4 linked regions of the Yarrowia lipolytica genome follow. The protein of the gene in region 1 purifies or fractionates together with the protein of each later gene. This does not show direct contact. Links are inferred from orthologs where the notes say so. Each region holds a gene or a part of one and is shown in the gene's direction. Other genes may lie near its edges. The genes, in order: YALI1_F24173g, YALI1_A06128g, YALI1_F39001g and YALI1_C29810g.

Region 1 (8,063 bases):
ACCATGAGGACTCTGTGATTGGAGCCCAAGGCATCTTGAAGCTGGCCCGGAGTCTAGCTGACAGCAAAGACCTCGACGCACAAATCATGGGTATCATGGACTCGTGGCAGGAGCAGCATCCCAAGCTGCCTCTGATGCATGCTGTTGGCTACTTTTAGACAGGACCAGAAGGACGTGTATCTCACTATTGTATAAATTATATATTTAAAAATGCTTCATTATTAGATTATGTTGATGGTGACGATGATGGATGGGGTTTATTGTGTAGCCTCCTTTCGCTTTCTCCACTTTTCATTAGTCACATCGGGAGTGTCAAGCATCTTTCGCTTACTGATGGGAACGTAGGGGATCTTCCGAGAGAAGCTTCCAGAGCCGTTGACCACCGCCACTCTGTCGCTGTCGCCGTCTTCAGCACGGGGGAAAGTCCGTTCGCTTCCAGTTCGCTCAGCAATGTGCTTCATCATAGCTAGACTGAGGGTGCTCTGGAGCATGACGTCGTGCCAGTGCTTGAAATTGGAGTTTTCCATTCGCTCCTGGGGCATGGCGTTGGGAGTGATCCATTCGATGGGCTCCTTGAATGTACAGTCATAAAGAACCAGAGGAACATCGTGAGCCATGTCGTACACGGGGCGTCCAGGATACTTTTCGGGGTTCAGCAGATCGGTTATCACGCTTGGTTTCTCGAGTTTCTGGCCCACCAGGAAGAGAATAGCCATCATGCATCGAACCTGGTGCCACAGGAAGGCTCGTCCCTTGAGGTTGAAGTAGTAGATGTCGTCCGAGAGCTGCTCGATCTCGGCCTCTAACATGACTCGGTTGTGGTGTGCCAACTGCTTGGATCCATCCACCTTGCAGAAGTTTCTGTAGTCGTGTTCACCCAGGTACAGTTTGGCAGCCTGTCTCATTAGATCAATGTCCAGATCGCCCTTGTGGAAAAAGTATCTATAGTGCCGGTATTCACAAGAGAATCTGGAGTCGAATCCCTCGGGCAGTCTGAGAGCCACAGAGTAGATTCGGATATCTGGTGGCAGCAGCTGGTTTAGAATGTGAATGTAGTTGAGCTCCTTGTTGTCGTTAGCGGCGTCCTGCTGCTCCTCGGGAGACAGCTTGGATCGCACCTTAAGAGCAATGACCTGAGAGAAGGCGGACACGCCTCGGTCTGTCCTTCCGCATCTGCTAAAGTCGAGATCGAATAGACTGGCCGACTCGGGGATCAGTCTGCACCGTTGCATGGCAGACAGAATGGTTCCTTCGATAGTGGGCAGAGGGGTGTCTTCATGCTGGACAGCCAAACCTCCATAATTCCAGCCGAGATAGGAAAAGCGGATCGCGATTTTTCGAACGGGGTGCCGACTAATGTCGTAGCTCTCGTTTCGCTTGGCCTTGGAGGCCTTGACCGGCGGGTCTGGCACGGCTCCCTGGGCGGTACTAGGGTCCTTGCCCTCCAGCTCGAAAATGCGATTGATGAGGTCCGCTCGAGTCCATTTCTGATACTCGGCCATTCTGGAAACTTGGTGTGGCGTGAACTTTAGCTGTCGTGTCGCTTTCGGAGCGGAAATCAGCCGTTTTAGTGCAGCTATCAGAGCCATGACAAGATTCGAGCTGGGAATTTTTCATCACTAAGTTGGGAGTGTCGGCCTGCATGTAAGCTGCACAGAGTACGAGGCTAATGGAAATAATTTGGCGGTGAGAAAAAAAAGACCAAGCACACTCACACAACACAAAACATAATGTCTACCGACTGGAAAGACTTGCCCGTTGCGCCATGGCTGATCGACACCATGGAGCAGTTCGGATTCACCGATATGACCCCTGTCCAAGCTTCAGTCATCCCCATGTTTGCAGGAAACAAGGACGTGATTGTCGAGGCAGTCACTGGCTCAGGAAAGACCATTGCCTTCCTAGTTCCTCTGATCCAGCGAATGCTGAATCTGCTGAAGGAAGGACCGGCTGTTTCTGGCCGAGTCTACTCTGTGGTCGTCTCTCCTACCCGGGAACTTGCCCGACAGACATATGAAGTGCTGCAGTCCATTCTGGAGATGGGATGTCCTGAAGCCGATGCTAGCGACAAAATCACCCTGGAGAAGAAGAAGAAGGGAAAGGCCGCCCCCACCATGCCCAAGAAGATCCGAGGCCAGCTGATCATGGGTGGAGATCTTCCATCTCATATGGATCTGAAGAACTTCCTTAGAGACAAGCCTCAGATCATTGTTGCCACTCCTGGCCGATTGCTCGAGCTGCTGCGTGCTCCCCAAATCAAGACATCCGCATTTGACTCTCTGGTCCTGGACGAGGCCGACCGGCTTCTCGACCTCGGCTTTGGACGAGACATTACATCCATCATCAACATTCTCCCCAAACAGCGAAGAACAGGACTTTTCTCTGCTACAATCACAGACGCCATCCAGAACCTGGTCAAAATTGGTCTACGAAATCCCGTCAAGATTGTCGTCAAGGTTGGCGGTAAGAAGGAACAGAAGACCCCGCTTTCGCTGGGTCTCTCTTACGTTGTTCTGGAGCCTCGCGAGAAGCTGGCCTACGCTCTCAATTTGCTCAGTATCTACCCCTACAGAAAGGCCATTGTTTACTTGCCCACATGTGCAGCTGTGACATACTACCAGCAAATGTTTTCACATCTCAACGAGGGCAGGGAAGAACCCTATGAGATCTACGGTCTTCATGGAAAGCTGCCATCATCTACTCGAATCAAGATTCTCAACAAGTACCAAAAGACTGGAGCGCAAGCCATCTTGATGACTACAGATATCGCTGCCAGAGGTCTTGATATTCCCGAGGTTGATCTTGTTGTCCAGCTTGATCCTCCTTCTGATGCTGACACCTTCCAGCATCGATGTGGACGAGCCGGTCGAGCTGGAAGACAGGGCCAGGCTATTGTACTTTTGCATAAGGGACGAGAGGAGGAATACGTGGACCTCATGAGAGTCCGAAAGGTGAAGCTGCGACCATACACCGGACCTGGGTCGGAGCTGGAAGGAGAGAAACTGGATCAGGAGGCTACGGAACTGTACACCAAGCTGAGAAAGTGGGTGCTCGAAGACAGACAACGCCATGACCAGGCTCTTCTTTCGTTTGTGTCCTTTGTCCGGTTCTACTCCAAGCATGTTGCCCAGTCCATTTTCCGAATCCAGTCACTGGATCTGCCTGGGCTGGCAGCCTCTTACGGCCTGTTGCGTCTGCCTAAGATGCCTGAGCTGCGAACCAAGGACAACGAGAGACCTGAAAACACATGGCTGGGCGAGGTGATTGACTTCGACACATACTCGTACAAGAACCCCGCCAAGGAGGAGGCCCGACTCAAGGAGCTGGAGGCACACAAGGAAGCCATGAAGAACAAGGTCAAGATCCACAAGACCAAGAACGACGTCCAGAAGGCCAACCGAGCCTGGTCCTCCACGCTTCAGAAGAAGGAGGAGAAGTCTGAGCGTCACCAGAAGAAGCAGACACGTATCAACGAGAAAATCAAGCGGGACTTTGAGGAGGCCAAAGATCTCAAGCAGGAGGAGTCCAAGGAGGTTGTTAACGACTGGAAGGACATGGTCAAGAAGAGCAAGAAGCGCAAGGTCGATCTGCCTACCTTTGACGACCTGTAAGGTATATAGACAATTATTTATGCTACGTTGTACCGTATGTACGGGTATATCCTGCCTGAAAGAACCGAGGCAAACCTTTTGATAATATCAAACTACAGCACAAGTACACCACCAGAACGGGTAGAACATTCCGCAAGTACACTTGTACATCGTGATAGTCAAATGTGCAGCACTTCTGTACCATTCTAAAGTATCGAATACTTCACAGATTCATCTACAATTACAGTAACACACTACGGGTCAAAAATTATGGGGATGGGACTGAATAGTCCAATCGTATTAGCCCCGGAGGTTCGGCGTTCCAGCCTACGTCCTCCAAAATACTATGTAATCCGACAGGCAACGGCTCTTATAATCCCTCTGTGAGATTTCCACGGGTCTTGCTCCAAGGGTCATCGGCACTAACTTTTGCTCTGGCTCTTTCGGCGGCCTCGGTTGCGGTTCCATCTTCACCATGATCCAAAGGATCAGGTTGCACTGCGCGTATCCAACTTAATCCATCAACTTTCCGTCCGGTCCACTCCATACTTCGAGAACACGGGCTCGAGACGAGACACGAGCTCGTCAAAGTCAAGAACACGAGCTTGATATGAGATCACGGGCTCATACTGTAGAAGGCGAGAACACGGGCTCGCGATGAGAACACGAGCTCATCTAGCGGACAAATTCGAGAACACGAGCTCGAAGTGAGAACACGAGCTCACTAGGGACGATGCGAGAACACGGGCTCGCCATGAGAACACGGGCTCATAGGAAAGAGTCGAGATCACGGGCTCGAATATGAGAACACGGGCTCATCACAGGAATCCAAAGTCGAGAACACGGGCTCGATATGAGAACACGGGCTCATACTGGAATTATTGCGAGACACGGGCTCTGAAGACGAGGCACGGGCTCAATCTTCTCTCATGGTGCGTCGAGACACGAGCTCGAGGCGGGGTCGGTCGGTGGCGCCTTGGCTCTGTAGCTCACGGGGCTGCAGGCTTTTATGGCTCTTTGCTGTATAGTCAATTGCGAAATCTTCTGCACTAGCGGCTGCTCAGCAGCTCTTTACCGTCTTGTTTCCGTAGTATTTCTGGGGCTGGGGTGATTGAACTGTGATATTTTTCCGTTTTCTTTTTCCGTTTTCTTTTCCGTTTTCTTTTTCCGTTTTCCGTAGTATCCGTAATGGTTCCGTAATAATTCCGTAATGATGACGATCCGAATGATGCCGAAGTATCCACATGATGATAATGTTCCGATGAATCACAACCGGCATGGGGCCGGAGGGAGAAGATATCGCTCCATCATGCGATGAAGAGTTTCTGAAGAAGGAAGAGAGAAGTGGTTGATGACGACCCCTTATATACCTTTGGAGAGCAGCAACTCATGCACGAGGTTGTGGGGAACTGGCGCAACTGAAGGCTTATTGACGATAGAATTTGGGTCCCATATCACGTTGTGCTTTGACAAGTGGGCAGTGGTCCCATGACCCAGGCAGCAGCAGCAGGCGTAGCAAGCAATTACAGGCGGCAATCAAGGGGACTGGTGGATGGATATGTCGGCCGAAATGCCCAAAACCGTCGTCATTGGCACCCGATTTGCCCTCCATCACGCGCCATGAAAAGCTCTAAACTTGGGCTTAAATGGCTGGCTCGAGACCGAGATGATGGGGGACCAACATGTGACGTAACCCCAAACTAAGAAGCTAACCCGACGCATGGTTTGAGGGGTTGGGCGGCTATGACACGTTAGGCAGTATTGTAGCACATGGTGTGTTTATTGGTGAGAGATCGGCTGTTACAGGTGTAGTGGTCTGGATGGTTGTCTCGGCCAGCCATCTGATTATCCACTGATTATCCAGTCTCGTGCTTGATCGGTGGAGTTGCGCTTCAGGCTGATGTCGTAGCTACGAGTATGAGTATGAGTATGACTCTGAAGTGACAGTTCTATAACCTACGCACGTACTTGTTGTTAGCAAGTACGAGCACAGTATGTATTGGTAAATACACCCGTTACTCGCTCGTACTGAGTGTCTATTCTTAGACCGTCTCAGGTCTCGACATGACTCCACGGACTTGTGTCATAGTGCAGTGCAGACGTGCCGTGTGTCCGGAGAGGGACATTCTATACACGATGAGAATGTACTCGTACTCGTACTCATACACACATGTACTGTAGTTCCCTGATGAGACAATAGCCTGTACAGTACTTGACAATGTCGTCACCTCCAATGCTCACAATCACCTCAAATAACCACTACACTGTCAATATCCCTCTTGCAACGTCGTGGACAGTGCTCAAATCTCTCCAACATAATAAGCGCGGAGAGTGTCGATTATGCACGCCCCTGTGAGTCAGTCTATCATCTGCCCTCATCGGGTGATTGAGGTACTTGTAGGTGGGCCTGGGATATCTCTTGAAAATGTGATTTGGTGGCGAGTCGAAAATCAGCTTGTGACACGATATCGAACCGTTGTCCCCATTCTCCATTCTCCATTCTCCATTCTCCATTCTCCAATCAATCGCGACACTTCCGACCCCTTTGTTCTGCATCGTATCATTCCATGGTCGGTATTGGAAGGCTCGCTTCACACAACCGAATCTGTTGGGACCAAAGTGGAGGTCCGCACAAACAAGAGAAGACAAACAACTGACCAAGGCTACAGTACATACTGTACTTATTGTACGAGTAGGATCGGTTCCGCACCACACTAAAGAGCTGAAAAACGAAATTACGTGCCGTACTCATACCGACATATAGACACTCGTATCAGGTATGCCATTAATAAAGTCTCACGAGCACGCCATACTTGTCTACTACTTGTAGCTCTTTCCAGCTCCAGCTCGTACAAAAAACCCCCCCTTCCCACAACCCTCCCCCCAATCCTCTTCGACCCCTATTGCGAGATTACTTGTACTTAATGGAGAGGCAATTTCGGCATTGTGCCGTGTTTGTTTGGCGGGCTTGTTAACATGTCTTGTCTTGTTTTGTTTATCAGGGTTGCAACAGAGACGGGCCCGGGCTCTCATTGGTCCAAACGGCGCATGTCATACCGGCTCCGTTAGTTGAAGATTGTTGACGCAACTCTAATGTGTCAAAACAAACCACCGCTCCGTCTGTCTACAGGCACTAATCACACCCCGTTAGTTTAGGGGTCGCTTCATGATCCTACCAGGCCCCACAAAACACGAGCCCTACGCGCAGTGGCTTTGGTGGAGCAGGGTATAGCTTGAACAGTTCTACTGCTGGTGGGTGGTGCCGGTTGGGAGACGCGTTGATGGTTGGTGGGCCGTGAAAGATGCAGATAAACAGGTCTGTCGCGTGACCCACGGTAGGGTCTTGTATAGACAGTGGGGCCCGAAAAAAAACCACATGGGCACACTCGCGAAATACCGCCTGCCCTCTTGGTTCAATGTACCGTATCACCTGCCCTGGAAAGTGTTGGCCCAATCCCCCCCCTCCTCCCTCTCTCCCTTTCCAGCCTTCCCCATGCCCCCGAAACTTTAGTTTGAGCACGCATCCAACTAACTTTGCTTCACATTCTTCAGCATTCTTTAGCCCGTCAACTAGTCAAACTGTATCCCCCCTGTTGTTGTTGACCCAACTCTTCCACCTACGCGTCACTGCTTCGTCAACTCCACACCATGGCTAAATCAAAAATCTACTACACGCCCAGCGACATCACTAACACAAAAACCCTGCACGATAACGCCGCCACGGTGCAATTCCTCACCTCGGAGCTCACCGAGAGCGCAAAGGTTGCCGCTCTTGTGGCCACTGAGAGCTGGCAGCGACTGGTCGAATGTGTCGCCCACACCCGGGGCCTCGACAACAAGGAAACCAAGGCGTTTGTCGAAAAGTGGAGCCCCGACAACGTGGACATCACTCTCAGCGAGGAATTGTCCAACGGCAAGCGGTTCCGAGATGAGGTGGAGCTCACCCCCACCGGCCGTATCAAGAAGAAGCGTGTGGTGGACCCCAACATGCCCAAGAAGCCCATGACCGTCTTCCTGGCCTTCTCCACCAAAAAGCGGGCCGAGATTCGAGCCGCTCGACTGGCCCGAGGCGAGCCACCTCTCCAGAACTCGGAGATGGCCAACGAGGTGGCCGAACTCTGGGGAAAGCTGTCTGACGCTGAGAAGGAACCTTACCAGATTGAGTACCGGAAGAAGCTGATCGACTACCAGAGCCGAAAGAACAAGTACATTGAGAGTAAGGCTGTCAACGTGGCGGCCGCTGCCCTGGCCGAGGAGGCCGAGGAAGAGGCCGAGGAAGAGGCCGTTGAGGAAGCCGTTGAGGAGGAAGAGGAGGAGGAGGAAGATGAGGAGGAGGAGGAGGAAGAGGAGCCCGAACCCATCAAGTCTCCCAAGAAGAACAAGAAGTCCAAGGACAAGAAGAACAGACGCTCCTCCAAGTCTAGCAAGGAGTAGACTGGAGTCCGCACGAGGAATATGTAATATTAATGTATT
Region 2 (7,598 bases), on another chromosome or scaffold:
ATAGACACTAGTGGACTTGCTCTGATGAGATCAACCACGGTCTGCGAAAACACTCCGGCGTATGCTTTGAACGAGTTGATGCTGAATGTTTGTGTGACTCCGGCGAGCTCCATATCGCAGCTTCCAAGCATTTTCTTCAGCCAGTTTAGATGATTTTCAAACTCCTCCTCGTTCACGTCTTTCAGAGTAATAATGTAGGCATTGGGCACGTGATCTCGGTCGTTTTCGAACAGAGGAGCGAGAGAAGGCGGAGAATGCTCATACTTGGCCGAGTGCTCGTTTCCAGGTCGGTTTGCTTGCAAATCGTTCACTAGTAGCTGGTCAAACTGCACTGCCTCTGAGTTGGCCGGGACTGCCGCCAGAGCCGATGAAATGAGGGTCGTCACTAACAGGGAGAGTTTCATGGCAGGTTGATGAAGGAGAGTGTGCTTTTCCTGGGCGCTTCGGCCTGTATAAAGAGTGTACACGGGGCGTGCAACAAGTCATGATTGCTCTTCGGAAACGGAAAGTGTATTCCCAAACGGGAATTTTGGATATCCTACAACAGGGCGAAAAAAGGAGGAAAAGTGCATGGAAACACGAAAAATCAGATCCAGTCGGCGGTGAGAATTGATTGCACCTGAAAGATTTCCTGTGGCCCCAAAACTGGTCGTATTCAGCCTTGCGCGGACCAACATGGATAATGCTACTCATGCATATCAAAAGGCGGATGCAGATCAGTGTAGAGAAACGTGGGCCTTTGGGGACTTGACCAGGTTGCAGGTATATTTACGCCGTTCTTGAGTCCGGGCGAGCAGTCGGGATAGTTCATTTTTGCGGTTTATTGACCCCTGGAACGTGTCCAAATCTCGTATATCTGTCCGACCCCAAAACGCGCATGTCCCAAAACAGACACGGCTTCCAAATTGGGACTAATGAACTTTCAAGGCAGTGTTTCACGTTGCGTCATAAATGGTGGGTAAATGATGGGCGGGATGAGAGATGGGATCAGTCATTTTGATCAAGGCGGTAGCAAGACTTGCTCCTGTTTTTTATTGTCATTGGAGTAGCCGTTCTACAAGGTATTCGTGCTTGTAAAAGTACAGTGGTTCCCACGCGTACTATGTTCGGTGTGCTAGTCGAGGTTCACAACGAGAGACTCATGGCTTGGAGAAGGAGCAAATTCTGAGGCACAAGTACTTGTACTCGTAAAAGACAACCAGTTTGGGTCACGTGAATAGCAGCTCGAATAGATGCCTTCAGCTCGACATTCCCAGCCCTCTTTGGTCGGCATGATTGAGCTGGCTAAATCCACTGTGTATGGCAAGAGTTGAGAGGTCCAGAATGAAGAGAAAGAAAACGCACAAGTCGACGCACAAGTCGACGCACAAGTCGACGCACAAGTCGACGCACAAGTCGACGCACAAGTCGACGCACAAGTCGACGCACAAGTCGACAGCATTCTGAATTCATTCAATGTTAGAGATTGCACGCTGAATCGTACTGTACTGTACTTGTACAAGTACTAGTAGGCAATTTCGCTTCTCCTTCCTGCTTGTCTCCATCGGTGTGCAGTATGTACTGATAAGAGCTTTCTCAAACAGCTGTTGGAAGCCCGTGAGGCTGACGCGGCTTCTCCTTCTCTTTCAGGAATGTGTGAGCCAGGTCATGTTGAGTCCTTCAAACACGGCAGTTGTCCTCCTATCCCCTGAGATTTTCTGGAGCGGGAAAGCCTTCGGGTCATACAACTGACAGTCTGGCAGCTGTTTGATCATCAGAGCGATCCTAACAACTAAAGTTGTGGTAGTTTAGTACTTGTGTTGTACTTGCACTTGTACTTGCACTTGTACTGGTACTTCGCTAGCATCAATCTGCCCAGAGGCACAGTCTTGTGCTCTACTGTGCTCTGCCCTACTCGTAGTTTTCATGAGACTACAGTATTGCCTATCTCCTCCGTCCATGTGACCGCTCCCTCATTCCAGTATATAAACAAAAGTCTGTCCACCTTCTACTCTACCACACAAAATGAAAGATACCAAGCCCGTGAACAACGAAAATTACGACCCGAACGGCGATGAATCGAACCACAACGATACCCCAACGATTCGTCACCGAAAAACCCCGCTCAAGGAAGACAGCTGGCCCCTCTCAGGATCCGCCCAAGGAAGACAGAAGCCCACTGCTCTCAAGGCTTCCAAACCGCCTTCAAGTACAGACAGAAAGATACCCTCCCCTACCGACGAAGAGATCGCCGAGGCCTGGGCTGCTCATCCGGGCATTCCCCCCGCCGAAGTCAGTATCAAGATCATGCAATACGACGATTCGGAGCCATCTGAAATCTGCGAGGAAGACTTTTCTCTGGATTCACAGTGGCTGTCTATGGAGATTGATCGAATCATGAGAGAGCAGACCGATGATGACATTCCCACTTGTAGCTTTCAGAAAAACACAAACTTGGGTGATGCCTATTCTGCCGATACCAGTCTGTTGTTCTGACTCCAGTCGTGGCCTTGAGATGGACATGTCCAACATCAGCAAAGAGCTTGCCAGACTCAAGACAGAGGAGAACAGGGACAAGGAGAAAAAGTCATTCAGCAGTGAGGGCTCTTTGGAACTGAGTCTCTTGACATCCTTGTGTACTTCCACCCCATACAAGACTAGACCCTAGAGGACAGTCAGGAATTGGGCATGAGCATGAGGAATGAGATGGCTATATAATGGAGATAATAAGGATACTTAGCTTGTTGAAGCATGTAGAACGTGACAAATATTGGAGCAGTGGTAATAGGAATGGAGAGCCATCTTTCACGATATGGTCTAGAGAGGTAGAGCGTCTCCAGAACTCCTATAACCACTTGGAATGAAGAAATTGAATGGTAAAAAGAACGAAAACGCCATAACTGGACATTTGAAGACCTCCCCAAACGGTTTGACACAAAATCTCCCGGACTAAGGCCTTTTTGAGAGTCACAGAAACCCCCACCATCATCAACGTGATATCAAACAAGGTTTGTGCAGTTACCATGGAAACGGCAATTAATATGTGGAGGGAGTGTAGGAGGGAGGTGATCTCAATTCCAGGATATGGACTCAATTTGATGAGGGAAAAACGGAAATACAATAATTTAAGTTGGAAAAACCATGATATCCACTCATTTTTCGCCTTATTACAATTAAATGGCGATTTACAGACGTCCCCACAACCACTCCTCCATCTCCAACAACTCGTCTGCATGAAACCTTAACCGTAAACAATTTTTTGACAAGATTATTTTGCATAGGCCAGAAGCCTTACTACACCACACAACACCCACAAAAATGGCCACCTTGCTGCCTCCTCCCTCGAAAAAACAAAAGCGACTCGCACAGGAGCCCAAGGATCTAGATCTGATCCCCGAGGACCTGCCCAATGTGCTGGTTCGATTCCAGGCGTCGGACACTGGCGAAAACACTGGTGGATCGGTGCGAGTTCCTGGAGCCGCCACCGAAAAGCAGCTGGAGATGCTTCTGAACCAGCTCCAGGAGACCAACGATGACCCCACGCCTTACACTTTCTCTGTGATCAAGGGAGAAGGCGACGAACAGACGCTGATTGACATTACCGACAACATTTGGGCATCGATTCTCAAACCCGGACACAAGAGTACAGAAGACCAGCTGACGATTGTGTACACCCCACGTGCTGTTTTCAAAGTCAAGAACATCACCCGATCGACCGCCGCCATTCCTGGTCACGGCAGCACTATTCTGACCACCCAGTTTGCACCCCACACTTCGTCTCGAATGGTTTCGGGCTCAGGCGACTTCACTGCACGAATCTGGGACTGCGACACTCAGACCCCCATGCACACTCTCAAGGGCCACTCTAACTGGGTTTTGTGCGTGGCCTGGTCTCCCGATGGTAAGATGATCGCTACTGGATCCATGGATAACACCATTTGCATCTGGGACGCTGTAAAGGGCACCCAGATTGGAAAGCCCCTCAAGGGACACACCAAGTGGATCACAGGCATGTCGTGGGAGCCTCTGCACAAGGTGAAGGAGGGTCACGTGCCCCGACTGGCCTCGTCATCAAAGGATGGCACTGTACGAATCTGGGACATTGGAGCCGGCACCTACCTGCGAACCATGGCCGGTCATAGAAGCGCCGTCACCTGCGTCAAGTGGGGAGGAATCGGTTTCCTCTATTCTGCTTCTCATGACAAGACCGTGAAGGTGTGGGATCCCGAATCTGGCCGTCTCCAGCACAACCTGACGGCCCATGGTCACTGGGTCAACCACATTGCGCTGTCGACCGACTACGCCCTTCGAACCGGAGGCTTTGACCACGACACCACACGAAAAGACTTCAAGGCCAGCGACACTGAGCTGCGAACCAAGGCGCTCGAGAAGTTCAACAAACTGGCCAACACCTCTGGACGCATCTCCGAGCGAATGGTGACCGCCTCCGACGACTTCACCATGTTCCTGTGGGAGCCCGAAAAGAGCACAAAGCCTCTTTGCCGAATGACCGGCCATCAGAAGGCCGTTAACCACGTCACATTTTCTCCTGACGGCCGATATCTGGCTTCTGCCTCGTTCGATAACTCCATCAAGCTGTGGGACGGAAGAGACGGCAAGTTTGTCACCACGTTTAGAGGACATGTGGCCTCCGTGTACCAGTGCGCCTGGTCGTCCGACTGCAGACTCATGGTCTCGTGCTCTAAGGACACCACTCTCAAGGTGTGGGATGTGCGAACTAAGAAGTTGTTGTCGGATCTGCCTGGCCACGCTGACGAGGTGTTTGCTGTCGACTGGTCCGTCGACGGAAACAAGGTGGCTTCTGGTGGAAAGGACAAGATGATTAGATTGTGGTCTCATTGATCTATATTTATATGCATTGTAATAGACGGTAGAATGGTTTCGTACACATCCATGTGAAGTGGACATGGGTGGTAGAGAGCGTGATGAAGAGCAGTATCGAGGGCTGTAAGGGAAGAGTAGACGACCTGAAGATACTGCAAAGGTGTCTCAGGAAGATATGGATCCAGGCTAGCTTGAACACCAGCAGTAGGAATGGAAGAATGGAAGAATGGAAGAATGGGAGAATGGGAGAATGACATTATCATACTGAATGGGCCTGCTTCCTAGTTGAGTAGGAATAATCAAACAGAAAAAAGACTTTAGCTGGATGGTCTCAATGATACTGCGTACAGTAGTTTTTCTCTCTTCAGCCTGGTAGGTCATCCATATCCATCATCCCCCTTTTCTCTTGTTTGGTCGCACGCCCAAATCGAACTCACGACCGCCAAATCACCATCCCCCAAAGTCTAAATGGTGATGTGAAATTTTCAGTTTTGAGGGAGAGATCAGGACACAACCTCCAACACAACCCGCTGAAACATGTTCCGAACGACATCAGCCCGAATCGAGGCCGCGTGTCGGCCGCTGGCACAGACACAGATGCGATTTAAGTCGCAACTGCACCGGCTCAAGCACCCCCAGCACATTGCCCAGCTGGTCCAGAAGCGAAAGATCACCGCTCTTGATCCCTTCTCCAAGCAGGTTCTGGAGCGAAACAAGGATGCAGTTGCCAATGCGTTCCCCGACGCCGCTTCTTTCGACGTGGCTGCTCTCGCGCCCCAGCGTCTGGCTCTAAAGTCCGAGGGAGGAGCCGCCGTGGCTCCCAAGACCAACAAGTCCGGCTACGGCTTTGGTACCGACGGATGGTACCACGTTGGCCGAACCGCTCTCAACCACATTGCCGTCCACTCGTGGAAGAACTCCACCAAGGTCAAGACGGAGATCTCCAAGATCACCGGAAGCGCCGTGCTTCTGAAACGAGACCTGTGCAAGGCTCTCGACCTGCACAAGTCGGACGTGGTTATCGCACCCAGCGGTCGAAAGATCTACGTTCGAGGCAACATGGTCCCCGAGGTTCGAACCTGGCTCGAGGCCAAGTTCTAGCATGTACATATTATCTAAAATTGTTTTATTGGACTGAGGAGAGAGATGAAGGTGTAGCGTGAGAAACGGTTGGACAAGCACAAGTGGAAGTGTCAGTGTTGTTATCATCAGTGTGCACACAACTATACTTATCACGAGGGTGTACAGTAGTTGGGGTTTCATCCATCTGAGCAATAGATTGAGAGGGATATTCACCTGTCAGCTACTGTACATACTGTACAAGTACAAGTTGACAGACGACTGACCATAATCAGTATCCAAGGTTGAGTATGTGAACGAAACGCCGTTATGTACTTGTACTTGCTGATACCATGATAGTCATTTTATGATTATTTACAGAGTTACCTGTTCAAAAACCAATTAGGAATGTTTTCAAATAGATTCTTAGCAGTGACACCTTGCCTTGCAAGCCGATCTGCCTGCTTGTTTCCTTCACTAGAACCATGGGCCTCTACCTTTTTCAAACCAATGCAATTGGTGCTTTCAGCCTTCAATGTCAGGATACGCTTGATCACGTCCTGGTTAGCCACTGGTTCCCCGCCCCGGTTCCGCCAGCCGTTTCGTTCCCACGCAATGTGCCACTTGGTGAGACAGTCGATGGCATAGCTTGAGTCGGTGTAAATCTCGTAAAGTCGGCCATCTGAGAGCTTAGATGCGCAAATGCAATACGCGTGAAGAATTGCCGTTAGCTCAGCTCTCTGGTTGGTCTGAGGCGACCCATAAACACGCCCGGAGAGGTTTTCCTTATGGTTCTCTCCGAGATAGAGTCCAAACCCAGCAACAGCGTCTTTCTGTCCGTTCCTAGAGCACGCGCCGTCAGTGAAAATCTGATTGATAATGTCTCCATCTGAGTTGGAATAGTGTAGACCTCGTTGTTCTGGAGGAAAGACGAGAGCATAGTCAGTTTCTTCTTCCACATACCCAATAGCTTCTTCGAGGCTCAGAAATGACTCAATGGGTAGAAATTTCTGAGCAGCACTTCTCATGGCCTCTCGTTCCTGGTCGAAGATGAGGTTTTCGCAAACAAAGAACATCTGGCCGCCGTTTTTCTGGGAATTAGCAGCCTGGATCTTCTTCTGGGCCACCCGTAAGTCCAGCTCTGCCTCTTGCAACTGGTTCTGGGCCGCTTCCAAGTCTCTCTGGGCCGCTTCCAAGTCTCTCTGGGTCACTTCCAAGTTCTTCAAGGCGGCTTCCAAGGCGTCAGTTTTCACAGCGACATTGATTTTGAACAGGTGGATATCAGCCGTGGTGTCCTGTACAAGTTGAACTAGCATCCGAGTCGAAAGTCCAGCATCGCCTATCCAGGACATGTACTCCTGCGCCTTGTCGTAGTCATCGAAGCCCTTCCATTCTGCCCCTGGAAACCTTTCCGTCTGTTTGTCGCACTCAGCAAAGGAGTTGTAAATGCCGGGCTTGCGTCCAGCTTTCACAGCATAGTACTTTTTGGCCATTGCGAGAGAGCGTGTGTGATACGGTGCGCAAATGTTGTCTTGCGAATCTCGTCCCGTTACTGTCGCCGGTCACCCAGTGTTTCTCTAGGCGCCCACCGTCAGTAAAATTTCACACCGCAAAATAAATTCGTGAAGCTTGAAACATGCAGTGTGCGCGAAACTCCAACATGACTTAATCTCTTCATCACAACTCTTCCACAAGTGGTGAGAAGATACCTAGGT
Region 3 (6,942 bases), about 1.5 Mb from region 1:
ATATGGGCTATAAGGATGTGTATGCCCACGTTGGAAACCAGACGCGTATCAAGCTGGCTGGAAAGAAGGTGTTCCCTGTGGTGACTGGAACATTTGGAGGACTGGACTTCCTGCACTCTTTGCTGGGAGGTGCTCACGATTCGCTGTCGGAGAGTGGATTCACAGAGGCTTCTGCCAATTTTGAGAAGAAGAAGAAGTCCGGCTCCAACACTTCGGAGTTTCTCAAGAGCATCCTCCGAAAGCTGCCTATCAAGCTGCCCGACATTCCTGATGCCCATGGGGGATTCAGAGACATGACAGGAGCAGACCTAGCTGACCACCTGGACGAGTTACAGCACAATGTGGAGGAGTATGTGGTGCACCAGCGAGAGCATGATGGGAACGATGAGGACTGCAAGGACTGTGGCGATACCAAGAAGAAGTCTCGCACTGGAGGCAGTGGCGGAAATGCACAGCAAGGACAGCATCCTTTGGTTCTCGTGGACCAACCTCCTTTTAAGAACACCCCTGGGGGAACCAACATTTCGAAGGTGCACAACAACGATCCCAACTACACCTCGTTAGAGTCGTATCTCGACAACCTGGATGTCGACGCAGTGATCCGAGCAGTGTACCCTCTATTGGAGTTCAAGGACTCCGTCATGTCTTCCCTGGAGTCTTTCTTTGGCGACTCCGATTCTTCTACAGCGCTCGGCATGATGGCATCTTCTATTTCCGACGCTCTTTCCTCATTCACTAACTCAATCATCAACCCAATCATTAATCCCATCTTGGAGGCAGTCACTGAGATTCTACATGCATCTGTCACTCTGCTGTCATACCACGATGATCAGATTGACGTATGGATTAACTCAAAGTCCACCGATCCCACTCATTCTCGACTGTCTAAGGACCATTTTGCAGCATACCTAAACGAGCCTGCTGGCCTCGTGGCTGCAGAGGTGGTCAAATACGTCGTTCCCTTTGTGGTAGAAGCCTGGGAGGATCCCTCTATTGATCCTCAGACTGTTGTGGATGAGGCACTCCAAACATTCCATCATCCTGCTCTTGCACACACCAAGCTGCATCGAATCATGCGGGCCGAGGTGGATCGATGGATTCAGACCTTCTCTGACGAGGAGCGAGAGCATATTCTGGAGGGCCTTACCTCTAGAGGCGTTCTTCATGGCCACAATAATGCTGAGCACTTGGATGTGAACAACGTTACTTACGAGGACCCTTTTGATCATACTGGTAGTGAAGAGAAGGCCTCAACCTTCCTTGATTACATTGATTACTTTGGCTTCTTCAACCAGCAGGGTTCCGGCTCTGGCTCTGGCTCTGGCTCAGGCAGCATGAAGCGGGAACACAAGGATAAAGCCGAGGATGTGGCCAACGACATGGATGCTGAGGGAGCAGCTGACTCGGAAAAGCATCATCAAGACCATGCTGACACGGCCCAGAAGAAGGCTAAGGACAATGCAAAGAAAGGCGAAGCCAAGCATAACGAGAAGGCCAAGGCCAAGGCCAAGGCCAAGGCCAAGCCTAAGCCCAAGTCCAAGAAGTCTAAGAGTCAAAAGACGCATTTCCACGACCATGCTCACCATGTCGAGGACCATCCTGACATGGCCAAGCAGCAGGCCGCTGAGCAGGCTGCCTCTGCTCATGACGAGGAGGGTTCAGCTAGACGAAAACCCCAACAACCATAGACTAGATAAGAGTACCTACATAAGCGTTGTGCTTGACATAATTCCCTCTCTCCAGTGTCAATAAAATATTTAATAGACGACGACTCCAGTGTATACACATCCGATACAAACAAGCATACATATATACATATTGCCATGAACATGGGTATCTCGGAAAGAAAGCGTGACCGGGTTTAGCTCTATAGGATTTACTCTTATCAGCTCATAAGACGGTTGTGTCTCTCCACTCATATCAAGCCATGTTAACACACGGCCTCGAAACGCTTATCCTTATCGACGATTAGAGCTCGTCCAAGGGAGGGAAAAATAGCCGTGAGGGGCAAACCGATCTATTCAGGTTGTTGGTAACTGCCGCCTTTTCTGCACCTGTTTCTCATTCTAGTCTCGCACTAAAATCAACACCCGCTACTGGCAGCTCCAAGCGGGGGGCATGGGTCAAGTATTGGTATTAGCTGCGATAGTGTATGATAAGCCAATTACGACCACACTCTAAAGGGTGGGAGAACTGCACGCGACTCTCTCAAAGAGGGGAATTAGAATGGACTCCTCGAAGCCTTATTCCAACCCGTTCAATAATCACCCAAGCACGGGCATGTATGTTTATGTGTTTTCAGTGTTTCGGAACATCCACGGCAGTGCCGAGATAAGACTTGAGGTATGCAGGAGTGGGTCGAGATGGGTCAAATTTTTATGCGTGTCAATTGAACCCTAATATATATATTTTGGTTCCAGAAAAGCGACCCTACTTTCCGTTTCTACCTTCCGTCACTACACACACACAATGTCTTCCTCGCCCATTCCCTCCAACGTCAACGTGCTTCCACAGACCCGGCAGCTTCTTGGTCTCTACTCCATCATCCGGGACAAGAACACCTCTCGGTCGGACTTCATCTTCTACTCCGACCGAATCATCCGTCTGCTTGTCGAGGAGGGTCTCAACCAGCTGCCCGTGACCGATAAGCTCGTTAAGACGCCAACCGGCGCTGAGTTCAAGGGTCTTGCATTTGAGGGAAAGATTTGCGGAGTCTCCATTATGCGAGCTGGCGAGTCCATGGAGCAGGGCCTTCGAGACTGCTGCCGGTCCGTGCGAATCGGTAAGATTCTCATTCAGCGAGACGAGGAGACCGCCCAGCCCTCTCTATTCTACGACAAGCTGCCCGAGGACATCTCTAGCCGATTCGTCTTCCTCCTGGATCCCATGCTTGCCACTGGAGGTTCTGCCATGATGGCCGTCGAGGTTCTCATTGCCCGAGGCGTCCCCCAGGAGCGAATTCTCTTCCTTAACCTCATTGCATCTCCCGAGGGTATTGCTGCTTTCGCTGAGAAGTTCCCCAACGTCCAGATCATCACTGGTGTCATTGACGACGGTCTTGACGAGAACAAGTGGATCCAGCCCGGTCTCGGAGACTTTGGCGACCGATACTACTGCATTTAAATCCGGTCTCCCTGGAAACAACTCACATACCCTTCAGTATATAAAAACATAATCGTATATGATTGCATACTTGTAATAAATGTTAGCTATGGATCGTTTGTGTGTGTGTGTGTGTGTGTGTGTGTGTGTGTGTGGAGATGATGGATGAGGTGCAATCTAAACTGGTTCCGGGGGCTCGATGCTGGATGAATCAACTCATTGTAGAATTGCCTGGTCCTTCATTCATACCCTCCTCATCATTTGCCACTTCTATCTGTCTTTGTTGTGAGGTTGGATCCAGTGCTTGTATGTTTGTCTCTGCTTTTGCTTGAGCTTCCGCGTGAGCTTCTGCCTGTGACTCTGCTCCCTGTAATACCAGATTCTCCTTGTAGATGCGCAATTCCTCCTTTCGAATGTCGGATTGACGGAAAAACTCGATCTGCTCGTCCGTCAGAGTCCGTTCAACTCCATCAGGATAGAAGCCCAGGGAGGGCTCAGTGTCCTCGTCTTGACCTGCCTCATCAAACTTGATTGTGCCCTGAAACTCGCCTAGATGTTTCTTATGGAACTCCAGCAGATCCTGGGTCGAAATAGACATGTTTTTGGGTGGCGAATGGTACAATAATTGAGTGGCCACTTACACAGACTGCATATTGGGTGTTTTGATTTTGGATGTGGTTTCGATAGAGGAGTATCAAAGCTAATTTTTCTGCCCTCATGCAAAGCCAAAAAAATATTTGCAGCTAGTGCAGATATTTTGGCAGGACTTCCCATCCATCTTCTAACCACACAGCATACATCACAATGCCCAAGTCAAAGAGAAACAAGGTCATCGCTCTCACCAAGGTCGAGAAGAAGACCCGGGAGGACAAGGAGGTGATCGTCGACGAGATCCACAACTACCTCGACGAACACAAGTACTGCTTTGTCTTCTCAGTAGAGGGCATGCGAAACACCTTTTTCAAGGATCTCAGAGCGGACTGGAAGGGCAGCAGAATATTCTTTGGCCGAACCAAGATCATGGCCAAGGCTCTCGGCAAGTCTGAGGAGGATGAGTACAAGGCTGGACTCGGCGCACTGTCTGAGTACATGTCTGGAGATGTTGGTCTTCTGCTGACCGACGAGGAGCCCCAGGTCGTCAAGGATTACTTTGAGTCTTTCGTTCGGGAGGACTATGCACGAGCCGGCCAGGTCTCTACCGTTACTTTCACAATCCCCGCCGGCGTTGTCCATACCACCGGAGGTAAGATCCCCGCTGAGGACGATGTTCCCGTTGTGCATTCTATGGAGCCCACTCTCCGATCTCTGGGTATGCCCACTCAGCTCAAGGCCGGAAAGGTGGAGCTGTTCGCCCCCTACGAGGTCTGCAAGACTGGCCAGACTCTGGATTCTCGACAGACCCGTTTGCTCAAGCACTTTGGCGTCACCAGCTCTTTCTTCAAGGTCCACACTGTGGCCTACTACGACTCTGAGAAGGAGGAGGTTAAGCCCTTCATTTCCGCTTAGATGTCTCGGAACATATTAATCAATCATTAGACACGTTTCAATAGAATAACTATGGGAGGAAAATATTGTAGTTTTACGCTGTATTTCCTTGTACAGTAATTTGTGCATATCTAATTTGTAGTCATTTTCCATGTGGGTTAGCTCAAATTTATTCGACACCTTTTATGCAAGGCGCGGTGCTGTCCATTATCAACCTCAAAAACTTTCGACCATGAGCAAGAAATCGTTGGCCGCCGTTGGAACGCCACTGGATGAGCTGAAGGAGAACCAGACCATCGCCAAGGTCGCCCAGGCCAAGGGCAGCAACATATACGAGGTGACTCTGCCTCAAGACTTCTACAAGAGCCACGGGTTCAAGAGCCCAGAGGTCCAGGTTGAGATGCCACCCAAGTTCAGACAGACCGTGTGGGTCAAGCGGGGTGGCTTTGTTGTTGTTGACGTGACTCCCGATGACAAGATTGCCGGTGATATCATCGAGATCGTGGTGGACGATCGCACATGGCGAAAAATGCCCTACTGGCCCGCCGAGTTCAAGAAGGTCGGTGGATGGCAGCAGGATTCCGACGAGGAGGAGGCCGATCCCTTTGCTCTTCCTGACGACGAGTCTGATGAGGAGGAATACGAGGAGGAGCAGAGTTAGGGGGTGAAGGGGTTCTAAGCGGTGTATATATACTGGAGATGATATACAGTTGGACACCTTCTCTCTGTCACACGACCTGACGCAACAGCTAGACCCATGTCAGAGTCGTTCAAAAACTACAGCATGTAGCTAATCTTTAATACATTCATATAATAAAGCACACTTGCAATTGTACTGTAATGCTTTAAAGTACAGGTACCAACAGCGATAAGCGTGAACAGAAATAAAGAGTAAGCCAACTGCTCTATGTTCTGATACACGCTAACAGTACTTCACGCTACACGACATGGGCACGACTACGAGGTCCGTAACTTGGTATACAAAGACAGGCGCAGATACAATAAATGAGCGGCTACGCGTTACACACGGCTGTCCTCCGCCCGACACCCATCAGGCCCTCTTTTCAACAATATATTCATGCAGCACAATAAATACGATACTTCTATACGTGGCATGCGGGGTTACCACAAGCTCCAGCCGTCGGGGCCTCGTTCCAGCTCCTTGATTTCGGAAATGTCTCCATTGGTGAGGTGTCCGTAGATGTGCGCAAACTTTTCGTTTCGCGATCGCACAAAGTCCCACTGTAGTCGACATCCGGGCTTGCAACCCACGGCACCCTCGGTTAATGGGGCGCCGGGAGTGTCGGGAATGTCAATCGCCAGCAGATAAACGCGGTCGTGCTTGTTGAAGTACTTGTTGAGCGTCTCCAGCAGCTGAGCCTTGGTGCTAAGGTGGATGAAGCCGTCCTGGATATCAAGGGGCACGCCAGGCAGCACGGTTTCGGGGTTGACGGTGCCGTTCTGAACAGCCTCGGCCGGCAAGGATTCCAGAATTTTGTAGATCATGGCTGCGGTCGCTTGAGATGGGTGGTTTTTTAAAAAGTCGGTCTTTAGAAAAAGGCAGACTAATAATCTCCTTGGTGATGTGTAGTGAGGTGGGTGGAGTGAATATCCAAATTAGACTTAGACGGATTATAGTGCGTGGTGCACACACCCGCTGGAATGTGCCTGCTGTACCTTTCGGAAAATGAAAATCGCAAAGTTAATCAGCTCGCTTGTGTAACCGAGCTGTAACTGTATGGACTGAAGTGGGGCGGGTGGCACCAGCTGACACGAGACTCTGACACAGCGAACATTTTTAGGACTACCGACTCGAGACCTTATCAGGAGACCCCAAGACTCTATCCTGCCAACAAGTCTGTTTCAGAGTTCTCAAATAGCTTTCTCCTCTTTGCTGGCTTGCTGCACGGAATAAAATAACGCCCATCACGCAGCATACATATATGGTGTCATTTCCTGTGAGAAGTGCGGTACAAGACAGGAACCAGGCATAGCAGCCAATTTTTTTTATTGCAACACTTGCTTCTATTCAATAATGTACTGTTTATATTATTACCTAGGAGTGGCGTCGATTCCCGCCTCTCCTTGATTTACCCCCACCACATGCAATTAATCCAAAATGTAGTTACCCAACTTGTCCATCTTGAGGTTCTCAATGCCTCGCTCAGCAATGGCCTTCTCGAGGGGATCCTCCTCTTCTTCCTCCTCTTCTTCCTCCTCCTCCTCTTCTTCTTCCTCGTCTTCCTCGTCGTCTTCCTCCTCCTCAATGTCGTGCTCCTCCTGATCAGCATCCTCGATCATCTCAGCGTCCTCTGCAAGCTGCTCGTTCTCCTCATCGTCCTCTCGGATCTGGTC
Region 4 (7,556 bases), on another chromosome or scaffold:
GCGGTCCTGGCGTTTGGGCGAGCCAAGAGCCGCGGCAGCAGCGGTCGCAGCATGGACCGTATGTTGGGCAGGCATGTTGTTTGTAGGTGCGGAGCTTGTCAAGGCAGGTCCCACGAGATATATAGTTGTTTAGCAAGCAAGTGTGGGAGGTAATGGGAGGGGGAGTTGAGGGGGGGTGAAAGCGGCCTAATGGGGAGTTATTGGTATTGATGAGATCCTTGAGACGTGGAGAGTGCAGATATGGTGGAATATTGCTGGAAACCTGGGCTACTTTTCGACTTATACCGACTCTCGTTTCTCGTCACTCCTCCACCTCAAAGTTAAACAATCAGCATTGTCTTGCTAACTCAATGGCTCTTTGGCTCCATGTCTGTGACTTCCTCAATCGGTCGACGGCGCAACTGTCCCAAATAGGCGGTTGAAATATGGACTGGGCAAAGGTCGGAAAAAGGTGGTTGTAGTTGTCCAAAGTGTCCATGATTTTCCCCCCTATTTACCGGCTTTTTTTGGACACTACCATCTTCCTCCCCAGTAGGCCGCCATTGTCTTATATAAGGTTAGATTGCTAAGCACCTTGCCAAGGAATGAGGTTTTTACAGACTCGATATAACCGACCTTGTGGGACCCCAATTCCTGTCGGACTTTTTGCAATCGATAGCCCGTTGTCAGAAGAGTCGATTTCCTGCCTCTCAGACCAATCCGCGTGCTACAACACCTCCTAGTCCCTAACCCCGAAAAAGCCTCACTGACGTCACCTGCATGACTGGACCTAAGCACGCAGCCCAGAAGCGCACCATTAGGTGCGGTCACGTGCCTCTATCACCACCGAAAAAACAATGGCAGGGCTGATGGACTGATAGCAGAGAGAGGCAGGACCAATTAGCCGTTTGGTAGCACAAAGAGCTCTTTTTTCCGGCCCTCTGCCCCCGACTGGCCGGCGACACTAAAACACGCAAACATAAAAAGACACTATACAGTAGCACCAACCATCGTATTTGCAGCCGGCTAGCTTCTGGCACGGGAAAATGTCTCATCAACTGTATTGGATACTAACCACGGATTGAGTGAAGTCTAAGTAAAGTGCGAGGCGGAATCCAACGTCCGCTTTGGGCTCGACAGAGTCGACAGAAGCAGTTACCCGAACCCCATGGTTAATATCCTGTGCAGAAATACGACAACTTTGCCGAGAGGGTATCCGAGACTGTTTGAGGGAAATGAATGGGATAAACTGGAGCGGTTTTACAACCGCAGGCGTCTGTTTCTAACGTGCCACCCATTTCTCTGTTTTTGTGCAAGTCTCCACCACCATCCAGCTACTCCACAAGGTTGGCTTGCTACTAGCAAAGATTGAGAATAGGAATGCTAATCCCCGAGGTATATCCCGAAGAAGCGGGTCAGTTGACCGAGCAACGAGTGGTCGAGTGAGTTTTCCAACTGATGAAAAACATGCACAAGCTATAGATGTCATATTGTAGTGATGTCATGATACTGGTCACCACTGCTCGTCCCAGCACCGACAGAGAAAAGTGTACGCCACTAGTCTACACCGCACCATGATGGGTACACGATTAGTTGGCAGCCTCATGGGTCACATGTCCCTCGGATCATCAACGTTCCTTCTCCCGAAATATCAATGACATTGCTCAATCGGGAAACGCTGTACAGGTACATCCAAGTACGTTAAGCATATTACAAGTACCGTTGATTTGAATCGTGTGGCTTTAGAGTGATTTACGATGAGGGTGGTTGTCAAGCGCTAGACATTATCAGGGGTTGCTACAGTATGAGCAGGGTAGGTAGAGCTGGTTTGCAACCTGACGTTCACATCTCTTCAGCTCCTATTGTACCGTATGTTTTGAATGTACATGAGTCAAGGGTCTGTATGACCACAACCACGCAACACGGCCAACACAACCACCATCAGATTAATCTCAAGTTACTGTTAGATTAATACTGCATAAACCGTCTGTTAGCTCAGGAACACTTCTCAGTCTATGATGTCACCATGTTGCGAAGAGTCAGTCGAGGTTACAGATCTAGGTTTTTTTATTTTTTCTTTCGACAGTCAATTGAACTCGGATAAATCAAATAAAATACAGGGACGCTACAAGTAGTACTTGTACGGAGCTAGAACTTGCGAAAGATCCTATTTGTACTTGTACAATTTCCCACACGATTCACCTGTCTTTGCTCTGTCTCTATGACAGCTAAATCAGGGTGATATGTGAGAATACTGGTACATACTGTACCTGGGCTACAATTATCTTACATCAACATCAATATTACTTGTACACATTCACCAATCCGTAAAATCAACGATTATGACTTTATAAGACCGTCTCTCTCCTTCCTGACACCCGCTTGAGTCTGTCCTTAGTCAAGACAAACATTAGTTGGACTTCTGTTAAGATAAATGACAACTAGCTGTTCAACATCAGTCCTTCAGTGATGGTGGAGAGATGGGAAGTTCGCCAAGTTGTAGTACTTGATGGTCATTTCAGTACGGAATACAAAAAAACTCCATAAAATCTGACATTTCCTCTGATATCCCAATTTTTGAAAATTTTCTTCCACTCGAAATACTTAGTGTTTAGTTGAAGGAAGCCGGCCCAGAGAGTCCGATCAGGATGTGAATAATGACGCCAACAACTTGAATTGCAGAAACGAGCTCATAGTCCTATTTCACAAGACTCTCGTCACTTCTCCTACACGATTTTTGTGGAAGATTGGACCATGATATCAGAACGACATCTGCAACTTACAGCTAGAGGATTCTGTTAAAGATCAGTGAGGACACACTGAAGTCGGAGACGGCAGGCAGTTTGTCAACACTTGGTGTTAGGATACACCACGGAGATAATGCTATGTACTGTACTTGTACTTGTACACAGAGATATATGGAGCAAGTTTTCTGGTACGAGTCGGTAGATCGACATGTTCATCAATATCAACGACGCTATAGTTCTATAGTACAATATGTACTTTTGACCCTTCCTACTCAGACTCAGAACCCTAGGATACTTGCAGTATTGTAGCTGACAGATGTTCTGTAGGGGCAATGATCTGTATATGCAGCTATTCCTGATTTGCAAGAGATATCCTCCTCCCTGTACTTGTATATTGTTCTTCACTTTTGTCATGTACTGGTTGTGAGCTAAGTTGCATTGCATGAAAAAATTGTACATGAAAAATACGGAAAAACAGGGGAAAAAATCAGAACATGGGCAACTAAGGTAAGGAGAGGTTTAGAAGAGCCCTTCTCTGCAATTTCAGACAATGTAAATGCATTGTATTTCTGTCATAATTCTAGGGATTGTTTTTAGCCACAATTCTCATAATTATATCTCTGTATCTCTGAGTATTTTTTCCCGTATTTTCCCTAATAATTGCTGCAAAATCGATATTAAATTGCCCCCATTCCAGAGCCAAAAGTTTATAGTGCCATACAACTGAGGGTGCTATCAAGAAGACTTAAACGCCAGCTGAATGATGTTTATCAAGCTGCAAGTCCTTTGGAACAGCAACCGTTCTGTTATTTTTATCCGGTTTTTCAAAATATATGCTGTTTCGGGCCCGTTTTCATTCTTGCTGATTTTCCATGAATTTTTCCTTATTAATATTGCGAAAATCTGTCGTAAATCGAACTCCCAACTGGACTACATAAATAATAACCTTAAATTCAACCCAAATTGGAGATCTATTCACACCCTCACTGAAACTTGCTGAATATTATCCAAAATTGCTAGTTATTTTTACAGTAGCTTCATCCTGTGGTCATAAAATATTCCTCTAACTTTCACCGTCTCAGCATAACTATTGCTCCTGTTTGAGTCACCCAACTAGTCAGTCCCCATTTTAGCTTTGATCACATGACACATCCCAATCGGTAAAAACAGTCACACGCTGGTCTCGAACTCTAAATTTTGCAGTAGATTTCCACCGGTCAAAAACTCTGCACACATCTTTCGTTCCTCACTATCTCAAAATGTCCCACCGAAAGTACGAACAGCCCCGACACGGTCACCTGGGTTTCCTCCCCCGAAAGCGATGCACCAAGTCTCGAGGAAAGGCCAAGTCTTTCCCCAAGGATGACAAGTCCAAGCCTGTTGCTCTGACCGCCTTCCTTGGTTACAAGGCCGGTATGACCACCATTGTCCGAGACCTCGACCGACGAGGCTCCAAGATGGACAAGCGAGAGATTGTCGAGGCTGCCACCGTCGTTGACACTCCCCCCATGGTTGTTGTCGGTGTTGTTGGTTACGTTGCCACTCCCCGAGGTCTTCGATCCCTGACCACCGTCTGGGCCGAGCACCTGTCCGAGGAGGTCCGACGACGATTCTACAAGAACTGGTACAAGTCCAAGAAGACTGCCTTCACCAAGTACGCTAAGCAGTACGAGGGTGACGCCGCCCAGGTCCAGAAGGAGCTCGAGCGAATCAAGAAGTACTGCACCGTTGTGCGAGTTCTTGCTCACACCCAGCCCAAGCTGACTCCTCTTAAGCAGAAGAAGGCTCACCTTGCTGAGATCCAGATCAACGGTGGCTCCGTTGCCGACAAGGTCGAGTGGGCCCAGCAGCACTTTGAGAAGACCGTCACCATCGACACTGTTTTCGAGCAGGACGAGATGATTGACGCCATTGCCATCACCAAGGGTAAGGGATACGAGGGTACCACCCACCGATGGGGAACCAAGAAGCTGCCCCGAAAGACCCACCGAGGTCTGCGAAAGGTCGCCTGTATTGGTGCCTGGCACCCTGCCAACGTCCAGTACACCGTGGCTCGATCCGGTCAGGACGGTTACCACCACCGAACCTCCGCCAACCACAAGGTTTACCGAGTTGGCAAGGGCGGTGACGAGTCCAACGGCTCCACCGAGTTCGACCGAACCCCCAAGACCATCACCCCCATGGGTGGTTTCGTCCGATACGGTGAGGTCAACAACGACTTCCTCATCCTCAAGGGTTCCATCCCCGGTGTCAAGAAGCGAGTCATCACTCTGCGAAAGTCCATGTGGCTGCACACCTCTCGACGAGACCTCGAGAAGACCCAGCTCAAGTGGATCGACACTGCCTCCAAGTTCGGAAAGGGCCGATTCCAGACCCCTGCCGAGAAGACTGCTTTCATGGGCACTCTCAAGAAGGACCTTTAAGCGGTTTCTCTTGTTGGAAATTTAAAAAATTAAAATGCACAATAGCAATAACCGAGTGTGTAGAGTACCTGCAACTGAGTGCAAAAGTACTTGTAGTACTTGTAGTCCTAGCGCTGTATACTGTAAGTAGATTGTCGTTTGACTAACTGTAAGATAGTTACTTTCCTTACACTAACTTGATTCGAAGACGCGTAGAGGGAGATCGATCATGACTATGAGCGAGCCCAACTGACAACATTCATATGAAGGGAAACAGTGAAGGCATAAGATGGAGCAACAATGCAGACGAGTATGGTTGCAGATTGCACTCTCGCAAATGCATGATACATGGTTGTACTTCTGTTTCTGGAACGAATTGCTTCCCATCATTGGCCTGGTGTGAGACAGGTGTGCCGACAGATGTGCCGACAGATGTGCCGTCAGATGATTTGAAGTGCTTACTGAGCAAGGTGAGATTGTCGCAGACTCTCCGCAGACAAGGAGACAGTACTAACAGGAACATTACAGGTTCATTCCATTGAAAGAGCTCCTTCTATTAACCGAGAGTGTAGCAGAAGTCTCCGAACGGTCCGAGTCCAGGTCGTGAGATGACATGGTCAAGGGGAAAGGCAGACCCGGACGTTGAGTAGTTGCCGGTTCCAGTCCCAGACCTTCCAGTCAATTGATGATGGTAACATACCTGCCCAGGTTGAGGTTGGAGTTGGTAACAGATGCAGTTCCCTCGTTCAGGATGTACGAAATCTCGATTATCTGACTGAGACTGGTGTACCACATATGGTAACATGGAAATCAAGATAGACCGGGGGTTGTTACAAATACAACAATCAGTATAAGACTTATCAAGGAAGCTCATACCAAGACTCAACTTCCAGACGACCCGATATTTGAACTATAGCAGACCAAGAATCCACTTCGAAGCTGCGGAAGACGACAAGATTTCCAACTGTCCTGGTTTTCTTGATGGAATCGTGACATGTAGGGCTTTTCGCACTGGAATTAATCCCAGACATGGAAAGGATACTCTATAGAAGAGTCTCTACAAGCATTTTGAGAACTCAGCACCAATCTGCAGATGAAAATACCATCTTATTCAGCAACCTTTCGCCATTTTTGCCATTTTTGGGGTCTCCACGTGACATTTTCGTCCCGCCTTATCCGTTCAACACCGCAAACCGTCAGTTGCGGCCATATCCTGGTGAAAATACGGCTTCCCGTCCGATCAGCCATAGTCAAGCACCAGAGAGCCTAGTTAGTATTGTAGTGGGAGACCATACGAGAATCCTGGGTGCTGCAATTTCTTTTCCCTCGAGTTTTCACTTATTTTTTTTTTTCCATTTTTTCTTTTTTTTTCTTTTTTTCTTTTTTTTTTCTTTTTTTCTTTTTTTCCTTTTTTTCCATGTTGCGTCTCCAACCTGTAAGCGGACTACGACTACAAGGCAAACTTTTGAGTCAAAGAGCCGGGAAACTCCATCAACAAGGTGTTTTCTGCTGTAGGAAGGCTTTTCATGCCACTCCCAGATCTTTCATCAGTTCATCATCATGTCTACTTGTACTGTGCATCTGATCATCTACAACAGAGTAGCTTGGTATGGGTACCGAAAGGCTGTAAGAAAGGTGCGTACAGTACTCTAAGAATAGAGGGATTACAGTGGACTACCGATCCTTTTACTTTGACTTGCCCAACTGTGGCTCTTTCTATTACTACTGGTAGTCGTAGCTCACTCGGTTGTCTCACATCGGTTGACTGGTGCTGTCCTGAGGTACATACCATCCTCACAGTAACAGAGAAAGAGCGGCGGAATGAACAGTGGCATTTCGGAAATGTCTGGAATGTTCCGACCGTTCTGTCGACCCCCATGCCTCAGCTTTCGCTCTCATGTGTTCTCCACGTTCCTCGTATAGGACGATCCGGGCCAGCAGCAACCGGATCACACGACATTTCACCCGGCCTCGGCATGTTTGCTTTTGACAGTTGATCGTGTGACAGACATGCAGCAGGGTCAGCACTTGGGACTGGGTTCGAGTGTGTACGATACGGGGGTAAGTACCAGGTACCTTTACAAGTGCCGGTAGTAACATGACCTTACCGAAACAGCGGCAGTCCAGATCCCTCCATGGACACCCGTGACACGTGATTATGAACCCTACGGTCTTGCTGCTGATATAACCAGCTGATTAGTGCTGGCGATCATGATGCAATAGATGTGGTATCAACACCAATAACTCCATTCCTTGCCTCACTTGAGATGTTGTCTTCAACTGCAGTTTCACTGTCAGACTCCACTGTCGATGATGCCACTGGTGTACAAGTAGTTACGTGGTCCAAGACGCATCTCTGGTTACAACATGTCGAACACCTTCGATCTACAAATATACTCTTCACAACTCCCTTACACGACACCTCATT

What was found.
Region 2: the proteins of YALI1_F24173g (region 1) and YALI1_A06128g purify together in Saccharomyces cerevisiae (affinity purification with mass spectrometry, with the first as the bait; 3 studies listed by BioGRID). This does not show direct contact. The link is inferred for Yarrowia lipolytica from reciprocal best matches to the Saccharomyces cerevisiae genes SPB4 and RSA4.
Region 3: the proteins of YALI1_F24173g (region 1) and YALI1_F39001g purify together in Saccharomyces cerevisiae (affinity purification with mass spectrometry, with the first as the bait; 3 studies listed by BioGRID). This does not show direct contact. The link is inferred for Yarrowia lipolytica from reciprocal best matches to the Saccharomyces cerevisiae genes SPB4 and MRT4.
Region 4: the proteins of YALI1_F24173g (region 1) and YALI1_C29810g purify together in Saccharomyces cerevisiae (affinity purification with mass spectrometry, with the first as the bait; 4 studies listed by BioGRID). This does not show direct contact. The link is inferred for Yarrowia lipolytica from reciprocal best matches to the Saccharomyces cerevisiae genes SPB4 and RPL3.

Annotation. Positions count from the first base shown.
Region 1 is NC_090775.1:2,415,582-2,423,644, forward strand, and holds YALI1_F24173g (uncharacterized protein), read left to right. Parts: upstream 1-1,730; coding exon 1,731-3,611; downstream 3,612-8,063. Other genes in the region: YALI1_F24151g (uncharacterized protein), read left to right, coding at 1-158; YALI1_F24171g (uncharacterized protein), read right to left, coding at 258-1,589; YALI1_F24197g (uncharacterized protein), read right to left, coding at 3,961-4,194, 4,275-4,346; YALI1_F24228g (uncharacterized protein), read left to right, coding at 7,239-8,024. UniProt on the Saccharomyces cerevisiae protein: ATP-binding RNA helicase involved in the biogenesis of 60S ribosomal subunits. Binds 90S pre-ribosomal particles and dissociates from pre-60S ribosomal particles after processing of 27SB pre-rRNA.
Region 2 is NC_090770.1:609,596-617,193, forward strand, and holds YALI1_A06128g (uncharacterized protein), read left to right. Parts: upstream 1-3,297; coding exon 3,298-4,842; downstream 4,843-7,598. Other genes in the region: YALI1_A06099g (uncharacterized protein), read right to left, coding at 1-404; YALI1_A06102g (uncharacterized protein), read right to left, coding at 483-645, 690-811; YALI1_A06104g (uncharacterized protein), read left to right, coding at 878-958, 1,013-1,168; YALI1_A06116g (uncharacterized protein), read left to right, coding at 2,005-2,475; YALI1_A06149g (uncharacterized protein), read left to right, coding at 5,362-5,925; YALI1_A06169g (uncharacterized protein), read right to left, coding at 6,267-7,376. UniProt on the Saccharomyces cerevisiae protein: Involved in ribosome biogenesis. Required for processing and efficient intra-nuclear transport of pre-60S ribosomal subunits.
Region 3 is NC_090775.1:3,896,195-3,903,136, forward strand, and holds YALI1_F39001g (mRNA turnover protein MRT4), read left to right. Parts: upstream 1-3,906; coding exon 3,907-4,608; downstream 4,609-6,942. Other genes in the region: YALI1_F38954g (uncharacterized protein), read left to right, coding at 1-1,688; YALI1_F38986g (uncharacterized protein), read left to right, coding at 2,470-3,123; YALI1_F38998g (uncharacterized protein), read right to left, coding at 3,314-3,700; YALI1_F39009g (uncharacterized protein), read left to right, coding at 4,739-5,248; YALI1_F39022g (uncharacterized protein), read right to left, coding at 5,710-6,093; YALI1_F39041g (uncharacterized protein), read right to left, coding at 6,697-6,942. UniProt on the Saccharomyces cerevisiae protein: Component of the ribosome assembly machinery. Nuclear paralog of the ribosomal protein P0, it binds pre-60S subunits at an early stage of assembly in the nucleolus, and is replaced by P0 in cytoplasmic pre-60S subunits and mature 80S ribosomes.
Region 4 is NC_090772.1:2,977,086-2,984,641, forward strand, and holds YALI1_C29810g (60S ribosomal protein uL3), read left to right. Parts: upstream 1-3,985; coding exon 3,986-5,149; downstream 5,150-7,556. Other genes in the region: YALI1_C29762g (uncharacterized protein), read right to left, coding at 1-75; YALI1_C29837g (uncharacterized protein), read left to right, coding at 6,655-7,125. UniProt on the Saccharomyces cerevisiae protein: Component of the ribosome, a large ribonucleoprotein complex responsible for the synthesis of proteins in the cell.